Linked DNA regions of Macaca fascicularis. The protein of the gene in region 1 purifies or fractionates together with the protein of each later gene. This does not show direct contact. Links are inferred from orthologs where the notes say so. Each region holds a gene or a part of one and is shown on either strand. Other genes may lie near its edges.

What was found.
Region 2: the proteins of ATP11C (region 1) and TMEM30A purify together in Homo sapiens (co-immunoprecipitation; 4 studies listed by BioGRID and IntAct, with this or other methods). This does not show direct contact. The link is inferred for Macaca fascicularis from reciprocal best matches to the Homo sapiens genes ATP11C and TMEM30A.

Annotation. Positions count from the first base shown.
Region 1 is NC_088395.1:146,045,639-146,049,468, forward strand, and holds part of ATP11C (phospholipid-transporting ATPase IG), read right to left. Parts: intron 3,590-3,830; coding exon 3,525-3,589; intron 3,201-3,524; coding exon 3,119-3,200; intron 2,150-3,118; coding exon 1,999-2,149; intron 1,378-1,998; coding exon 1,180-1,377; intron 1-1,179. UniProt on the Homo sapiens protein: Catalytic component of a P4-ATPase flippase complex which catalyzes the hydrolysis of ATP coupled to the transport of aminophospholipids, phosphatidylserines (PS) and phosphatidylethanolamines (PE), from the outer to the inner leaflet of the plasma membrane.
Region 2 is NC_088378.1:99,869,147-99,872,976, forward strand, and holds part of TMEM30A (cell cycle control protein 50A), read left to right. Parts: intron 1-2,054; coding exon 2,055-2,248; 3' UTR 2,249-3,830. UniProt on the Homo sapiens protein: Accessory component of a P4-ATPase flippase complex which catalyzes the hydrolysis of ATP coupled to the transport of aminophospholipids from the outer to the inner leaflet of various membranes and ensures the maintenance of asymmetric distribution of phospholipids.

The DNA.
Region 1 (3,830 bases):
CCATATCACCAACAAAATAACCTTGTGGGAACAATATCCAAAGGAAAAGCCATTTGTCCATTCAATTTTTGTCCTATTCTTAGTGCCTTCGTATCTACATGGGATGTAGACTCCATGGTTTCAGATACTGGTGTCCTGAAGTCAAATGTAAACAAAATAGTATCTGGAGAGTCCTTTCTACCTTTCAACTGCAGTTGTCATGTGGGTACTTTGATTTAGGCAAAGGCTGTCTCAAGAGCAGAAACACAAAGCAGGGACTGTGGAGAGGGTTAAAGTCAGGAAGTAAAGAGTTTTGAGGTGAGAATGCAAATCAGCCCCATTTAAACAACTGTGAGGCTCTGTTCCAGCCACACAGTTTCATTAACTCAATTTGGAACTCCCAGTCACAAAAATGACATTTCCACAGTCTTGACATTCTAAATGTCATGAGAATAAAATGCAAGCCAAAAAATTCCTTCGGCTCGCAAAGATCATTACATGACAGAGTAAAATCAAAAAAAGGGGAAAACTTCCTCAATACTAATAAGAAAAGTACCCGAGAAATCATCACTTGAAGAATTACAGCCAGACTGTGTTGCACTGGAAAATAAATGCACCTGGGTTAGAATGGGGTCACAGTCTGGGTTACATTGGTATATAAAGAAGAACGCATTTTGAAGAGTGCATGCCCTCACATTTTCCCTTCATTGAAATTCTTGTACTGGAATAAATAACTCTGCTTGTTAGGTCTATCTTCTACCTGATCAGAAATGTACCAAGAAAATGTCAATAGGACAACTCTGGTCAATTTTGCTTATGGAACAAAATACATTTATAAAAGAGCCATATTTGCTACCCCATATTCTATCCACAAATGGTTATAGATGGTCATGAAGACTGTCTGTTTCCTGTTCCAAAGCAATAGCTAATAAGGTAACATCACCCAGTTCCAAGGAGAATTTCAGTAACATTCAAATTTAATACATAAATTGCATCCTTCTCAAAAAGGCCAGCAAAAGAACTGATGCTATAACTATGAAAACACTGCTTACCTTCATTACATGCCTGCATTAAAGAATTTTCTCTGAATCATTTTTCCAAATGTGACATGATCACATATATTGGTAATCCAGAATACATAAAAAGATATTTTCAGTATGTTGACAAATTATTTTAAGTAAAAAAAAAATATGCTCTAACCTGACCAAGTTCTTCATTAAGGTCTGATGTGTTAACCAGGGCTCCTTCATTAATTTCTTCATCATAAAAGTCCTTATCCCATGAGATGAAGAAGGAGCCTAAGAATTTCTGCATTTCTACTGTGACGTACATGGAGACAGGAATGATAAAGTTGAATAGAACCATAAATGATAGGAAGTCGGTGAACATTTTTAAAACCTAAAATAAAAGAGATAGTTCATGCTAATTAGACATACAATTCCATCAGACCAATATAATATAAAGGAAGAATTAATTTCATCTTTATTTCAATGCTGAAAACACTGCTCTTACTATCAAGATGGAACTTCCCAATAACACTACATCACTGTAATCAAAATTATCACAGTATGTGAGAATAATATTTAAGAACACCCTCAATTTTATCATTATTCTTCAGTATATACGACTTCAGTCAGTACTTTTTCACTTCTTTAAGTTCTCTTTGCTCACTCCACCCTAAGATATGAATGTGAGATCAAAGTTCGTATGTAAGCATTCATTATGCTTTTATTGTGACATCTCACATACTCCTCTTATATTAAAATGCCAAAGCATCTTGCCAAATTGTTTCATCTTAAATTCTTATATAAAGAGCTAAAAACAAGCACAGACGCCTAAAGTAAAAGAAAAAAAAAAAACTCTAAATCTTCTTAAATATTTATTGGCTTAGAGCCACCATGTAATCAAGAGAAAATTCAGAAGCTTACAAAAGGTGCAATTTCCCTGAGCAGCATTTCAGTGAAAGTTGGCTCAGTCACAAAGTTCTAGAGTTTCAATTTTCAGCAGAAAACAAATTACCTTCAAAGTCTCTCGCTCTTTCTGAGTCTTTTGGTTATACCAAGGTTCATCATTGTATGGGGTACTCTGCCAAACGTACTTTAGAGTAGTGCATACTGCAGCTTTGGTCAGTAAGATAAATAAATATACAATCAGGAAAGCATTAATAGATCTGAAAAATAAGACAGCATGGATTTTAAAACCACCTAATTATTAATACTTAAGACATCAGCCAGATATGAATTAAACTACTGAGTCATCTAAAGCTTTTTCTGCGTACGACGCATAACTATAGCACAAGCCTTTGTGTGTGAACCTCAGTTATCATAGCTGGAGCATTACTTTCAAGTGGCAAAATGAAAAGCTGGCCATGAACTGTTTATTGACCACCAATGCTCTCCCAAGTGCAATGGCTGACTAGCGGAACACACCTTAGTAAGGTTCCTGTAAAGTGACAGGGGACGTACACACATGCACACATACAAACACCATTACTTACTCAACCCTTATAGAAGGAGTATCTTGTCTCCATTTCCCTGAATCCTAAATGTTTGGGGTAGAGGGCACGGTAGCAATGTGAAATCCTCAAGTTCGGTGTAGGTTCTTTCAGTTTGAAAGTGGAGCTACGGAAAGGGTGCCAGTGATGTACTGGTTATCCATGCCAAATATAGGGTGAGGTCTATGGCTGTGGCACCTGGCTTGAGGATCTACCAGGTAATGCTTCAATAGGTGCCAGGAGACTATTATCTATATTATAGAACCAACTTGCATATAGCAACTAAAGGACTCCAAACTATTGACTCCACTAGCAAAAAGGAATGAATTTATAGTTCAAGTAAATTCTGCCCTTTAATAGCTATGTGAGCTTAGGTAAGTCACATACCATCTCCAAGACCATTTCCTCATCTGTAAAGTGGAGAGGTTAACATGAATTATTTCACAGTGTTCTTCAGAGGACTAAACCAAATCAGACATACAAATCATTGAGCACAGTTTCTGGTACATAAACAAGTGCTTATAATAGTAGTTGCTATTATAATTGATGTTGTTTTTTGTTATGCTTGTTACTTGGAATTACCGAGAAAAGTAACTATTTTAATCAATAATGACTAAATAAATTGTGGCGCATACTCATACTAACTTTTCAACAGCAGAACGTTTCTGAGATTTCCCTTGGTAGTTCAAAGCCATTTTGGTTTCCATTCCAGTGTAAACAGCAACTCCTAAGAAATTACAGAATATAATGAAAACTAAGAACTTGTCAACCAACTCCTCACACAGCTGGCTCTATGAATTTTTAAGCCTATAAAAGCAGGAAATCTAGGCCCTCTTCCACTCACCAGTTGTATATCATTTATAGTATAATTTTAATTATATAGAGTATTTGTCATATTTCTTCTTAGTTTACCACCTTATAAATTCCCAATATCTAAATATAGGTTTAGATTAAATGGCAAACCTGCCATGTTTACTTTTTAATATGCACTATTTATTCACAGCCTTTACAAAGCATATTTTTTGATAAGTATATCTTAAAAATTGTTCACCATATATCTTCTCGGTATTTTTTAGTGTAGCTCCTTTCAGCAAGAGATTTTCAGGTCCCAAAGACCTAAATAAAAAATGAACACAGCTTATCCAAACAAGCCAATAGCATCAACAACTCTGGGGACAGATTTTGCCCTGACACACACCTATTTCCAAGGGGTTCAGAATGTATCTGTCTACTTATACCATATGCTTACTCCCCAGGACAAGCTGAAAGGTCCTTCATTCTGAAGTTACTTGAGGGTACAGCACAGATGGAAGCACAGTACGGGAGTAGCCAGCAACACACAGAGGCAAAAAAATAC
Region 2 (3,830 bases), on another chromosome or scaffold:
AATTTTGATCTATTGGTAGTATCAAAACTCAAAACATTTTATTATTAGCTGTTTTGTTCCACATTAATAAGTTCACATTCAGTGCTGATAAATAACATTTATTCCACTCTATGTGTTAACACTGTGCTGAGTGTTTTCTGCTCATTATTTAATTCAGGCAGCAGCATATCTCCCTATTATAGACCAGAACACAGGAATATCGAGCACTTAAGTAACTTACCTGACTTTACACAGGTAATAACAATGAGTTGGGGTTCATAACCAGGCTGTTGACTCCAAAGGCCATAATTTTACTCTCAGCTACCAACATAGGCTACATCTCTGCTAGTTCACTCAGTTACACCAACCCATATCTGCATAGATGCAGTCTTTATTAGGAGGGAAATAGTAATTTCTTTTATTCTAACCAAAGTCTTTACATCTTTTAATCTGGAGCCTATATTTTACATACACTGTGAGTGAAGAGATCTCCCAATGCTAGAATCTTAAATGTTTGCTGATCTTTGCATTTTTTATTTTCATAATCCAAATGAGTCATAATCCAAGTGGGTTTTGGTTTTAAAATGGGTTAGTAAATGGTTAAATTAATAGACCCAATTTAAAAATATTTTTTTTTGGATTCTAGTCTCTTGCTATTGCACCTGAATACACAAGTAAATATGGCCTGCTATGGCAAGCTAAAAGTGACCAAGTTTTTGAAACTAAATCCACATTGGAGCAGTTTTGGACAGACAGACCCAGTTCAAGTGCTGATTTCTAGAACATTATCCTGAGGAGATAGTCAAACTAGAGAGCAGCTCTGTTAAAATTAGCATCCAGAAAATCTCTAGAGAGTAAGGGCACATTTAGCAACCTGTAGCCTAGGGCACAATGAAGGGAAGTCTGTGAAGCACTGAGGAATTCTTAGTTGATAGATAATTGCCACACAGGAATTCCGCAGCAGGGTCCCAACTTTGAAAGAACTATCTAAAGGAATGCATGATATATGGCAGATTGAGAAGACTTGATAAGACCGGAATTTGGACCTGCAAAACATCAAGGGTTAATTTTCAAAATTGGGCATACGGTGGGAACTGAAGACTTCTAGAATGAAGGCAGAAGCCTGTTTCTTTAGGGTTGGGATGCTAGAGAGAGACTAGCATGGGCAATTTGATACTGTATCCCACAGAATGTTGGGTTAGCTAGAGGTCTCAAAATCATTCCTGCCTTAGTTTAGGGTTGATTTAAGAAGTTAGCAGAACCGAACCTGCCATTGGGAGTTAGGGACCCATAGGGACCCATCTGTGGGGATGGAGAGTTGAAGAAACTAGAGAAACAGATAGGGCCTAACCCTAGATTCAAAAGATGCTTTTGAAAAAGTTGTAAACTTTTTGCATGGAGACTTGGTTCTGGCTTCTTCGCTACCTTACCTCTTGCAAAATTCTACAACTGGTCCATGTAGATAATTCATCTAGTATACTGGTGCCCTATTTCCTAAATCTCCTTAACAGCCCACCCTTCACTTCCACTGTTAGCTATCAGCTGTGTCACAGAGTGAGTTTTGCCATTGCTCTAAATCAGCAAGTTAAAACTTTGTTATGCTTTTTGACCTTTTGCTCAGAGCCTTTTCATAGTCTCATAACTACACTCTTGCTACATGTTCTTTGAGCTCACAGAGACTTCTAGTCCCTGATTTTTTCCATTTTCTCCTGGTCTGTCAGTCTCCTTGTGTGGACTTCATTGTTCACTTGAACTATTTTTTTCACATTGCATTCCTTTGAGGCCTTTTGCCCCTTCCATGTAATGAGACCAAAAGCACCTGAGAAACTGCGTAACCTTTACATTTTGTTTGTTTTGGTAAAATATTTTGGCTTTTACTACTGACATTTAATTTGCTAAATCAGTCTTTCAAGATAATATTTTGTGTGTGTGTGTGATTTAGAACATAGGAGTAAGGTACCTGTATATCCTAGAATTACACAAATGAATTACCAACAATTAAATGGCAACTTTTAAAATTATATTTTAAACATCAAGTAACCAGAGATGGAAAAATCTTCCTATACCCTCTTCAGATTACCCTGTACATTATTTTGATGGACGAAAACGGATGATCTTGAGTACTATTTCGTGGATGGGAGGAAAAAATCCATTTTTGGGGATTGCTTACATCGCTGTTGGATCCATCTCCTTCCTTCTGGGAGTTGTACTGCTAGTAATTAATCATAAATATAGAAACAGTAGTAATACAGCTGACATTACCATTTAATTTATATTATGAAAGCAAATCATCTGCATGTGCATCAAGGCCAGTCCTATTCAACCTAGCTTTCGAATGCTGATGTCTGGTTAGTATGTCATTTTGAAGTTGGCACATAACTTTTCTAAAAAAAAAAGCAGTCTTTGTTGTTTGCTTCTTCCCTATGGATGACTTCTGAAAATATATGACGGGTATAAAAAAATTAGCTATATTGATCATATCAACACTGTAATTGCTGAAATGGCATTCTAATGTTTGCTTTTTATTGGGACAGGCCACATGATGCATAGAGCCTCTTTCATGTGACTTGTGTCTACTGCTTAAATCTTTATGCTGTGTTGATATTATATTGACATATGATGCTATATATGTGTATGTATTTTGTGGAGAAAGGGATTACAAGATGTATGAGTATAACGACTTGCTAACCTTTCAGGATTCAGAGAAAGATGAAGAAAGACCATATCTAAATAATATACTTCATCGTTTTCATGTGTATAAATGCTTAAAATACCATCTTTGTTGAGGTGGTTCATGTATCCAGTTTATCCAGTACAGTTATTTGTCAAGCTTAGCTTTGATTTCAAAGGACATACTTACCTTATCTAGCATAAGAATTAATGCTCCTGTCTGCAGTGGTTGGGTAGGTCCTGCTTAGGAGAATTAAAAAATTCCTCTTTCCATTTGGTTAAATGTTGCAATCAGGAACCCCAACTCACTTGGAATGTTTTTATATGTAATCATTTCCCTTGAAGCTTATGCTTTGTAAGGGAAGAAAGAATTCAGGTGATAATGGGAAAACTGCTTGGCAGAGCTTCATCTTCTGCCTCAACTGTAAACCACATGTAAATGCTTAATGGAGACTGTTTTCATTCTTGTGATATTTAACATTCAGAAAATTACTTCAGCTTTGGAAATACCTCAGGCTGTTTTTATTTTGCAGGTAAGTGTTTTGACTTAAGTACTAATATTCCAGAAATTTTTGAAAGCAGTAACCTTAATTTCCTATGTATTTCATTCCACTTTTGCATATAGGTCAAATGGCAATGTGTATGCACATTCTCTTTAGTTAATGCACCAATTGTTTTGGTTGGTTTTCCTAAGACATACTTTAAAAAGATGTTCTGTAAATTTCCTAATTAAATTATGGGGATTTTGGAGTATGTACATGATAAATTATAATATGTATATGGTTGAAGTTATTTTATTTTTTACTAACTGGAATTATTTTAATATTCCTTATTGAATAAATGCTGTAACTTGTTTGCTATGGAACTTATTCTTAAAGTTCTAGTTAAAAATAATTTTTCCACATGCATGAAAATGTATGTATTAATCAGAGGTGGCTTGATTACATTGAAATTGCTTTATTATTGTTGTTGTTGTTGTTTTTTACTGAAATAACTCATGTTTGTGTAGAAGAATGCCTGTTTATTCAGAGTTTATATTTTCCTTCAGTTATATTTTAAATCAAAAGGCCTGGGTAATGTATACTTTTGATTAATATATACTTTTTTAAAAAAACAAAAAGCAATGTAATGGTTAATAGTAGAAATGTGCCACACTTTTCAAGTTTTATATAACATATGAA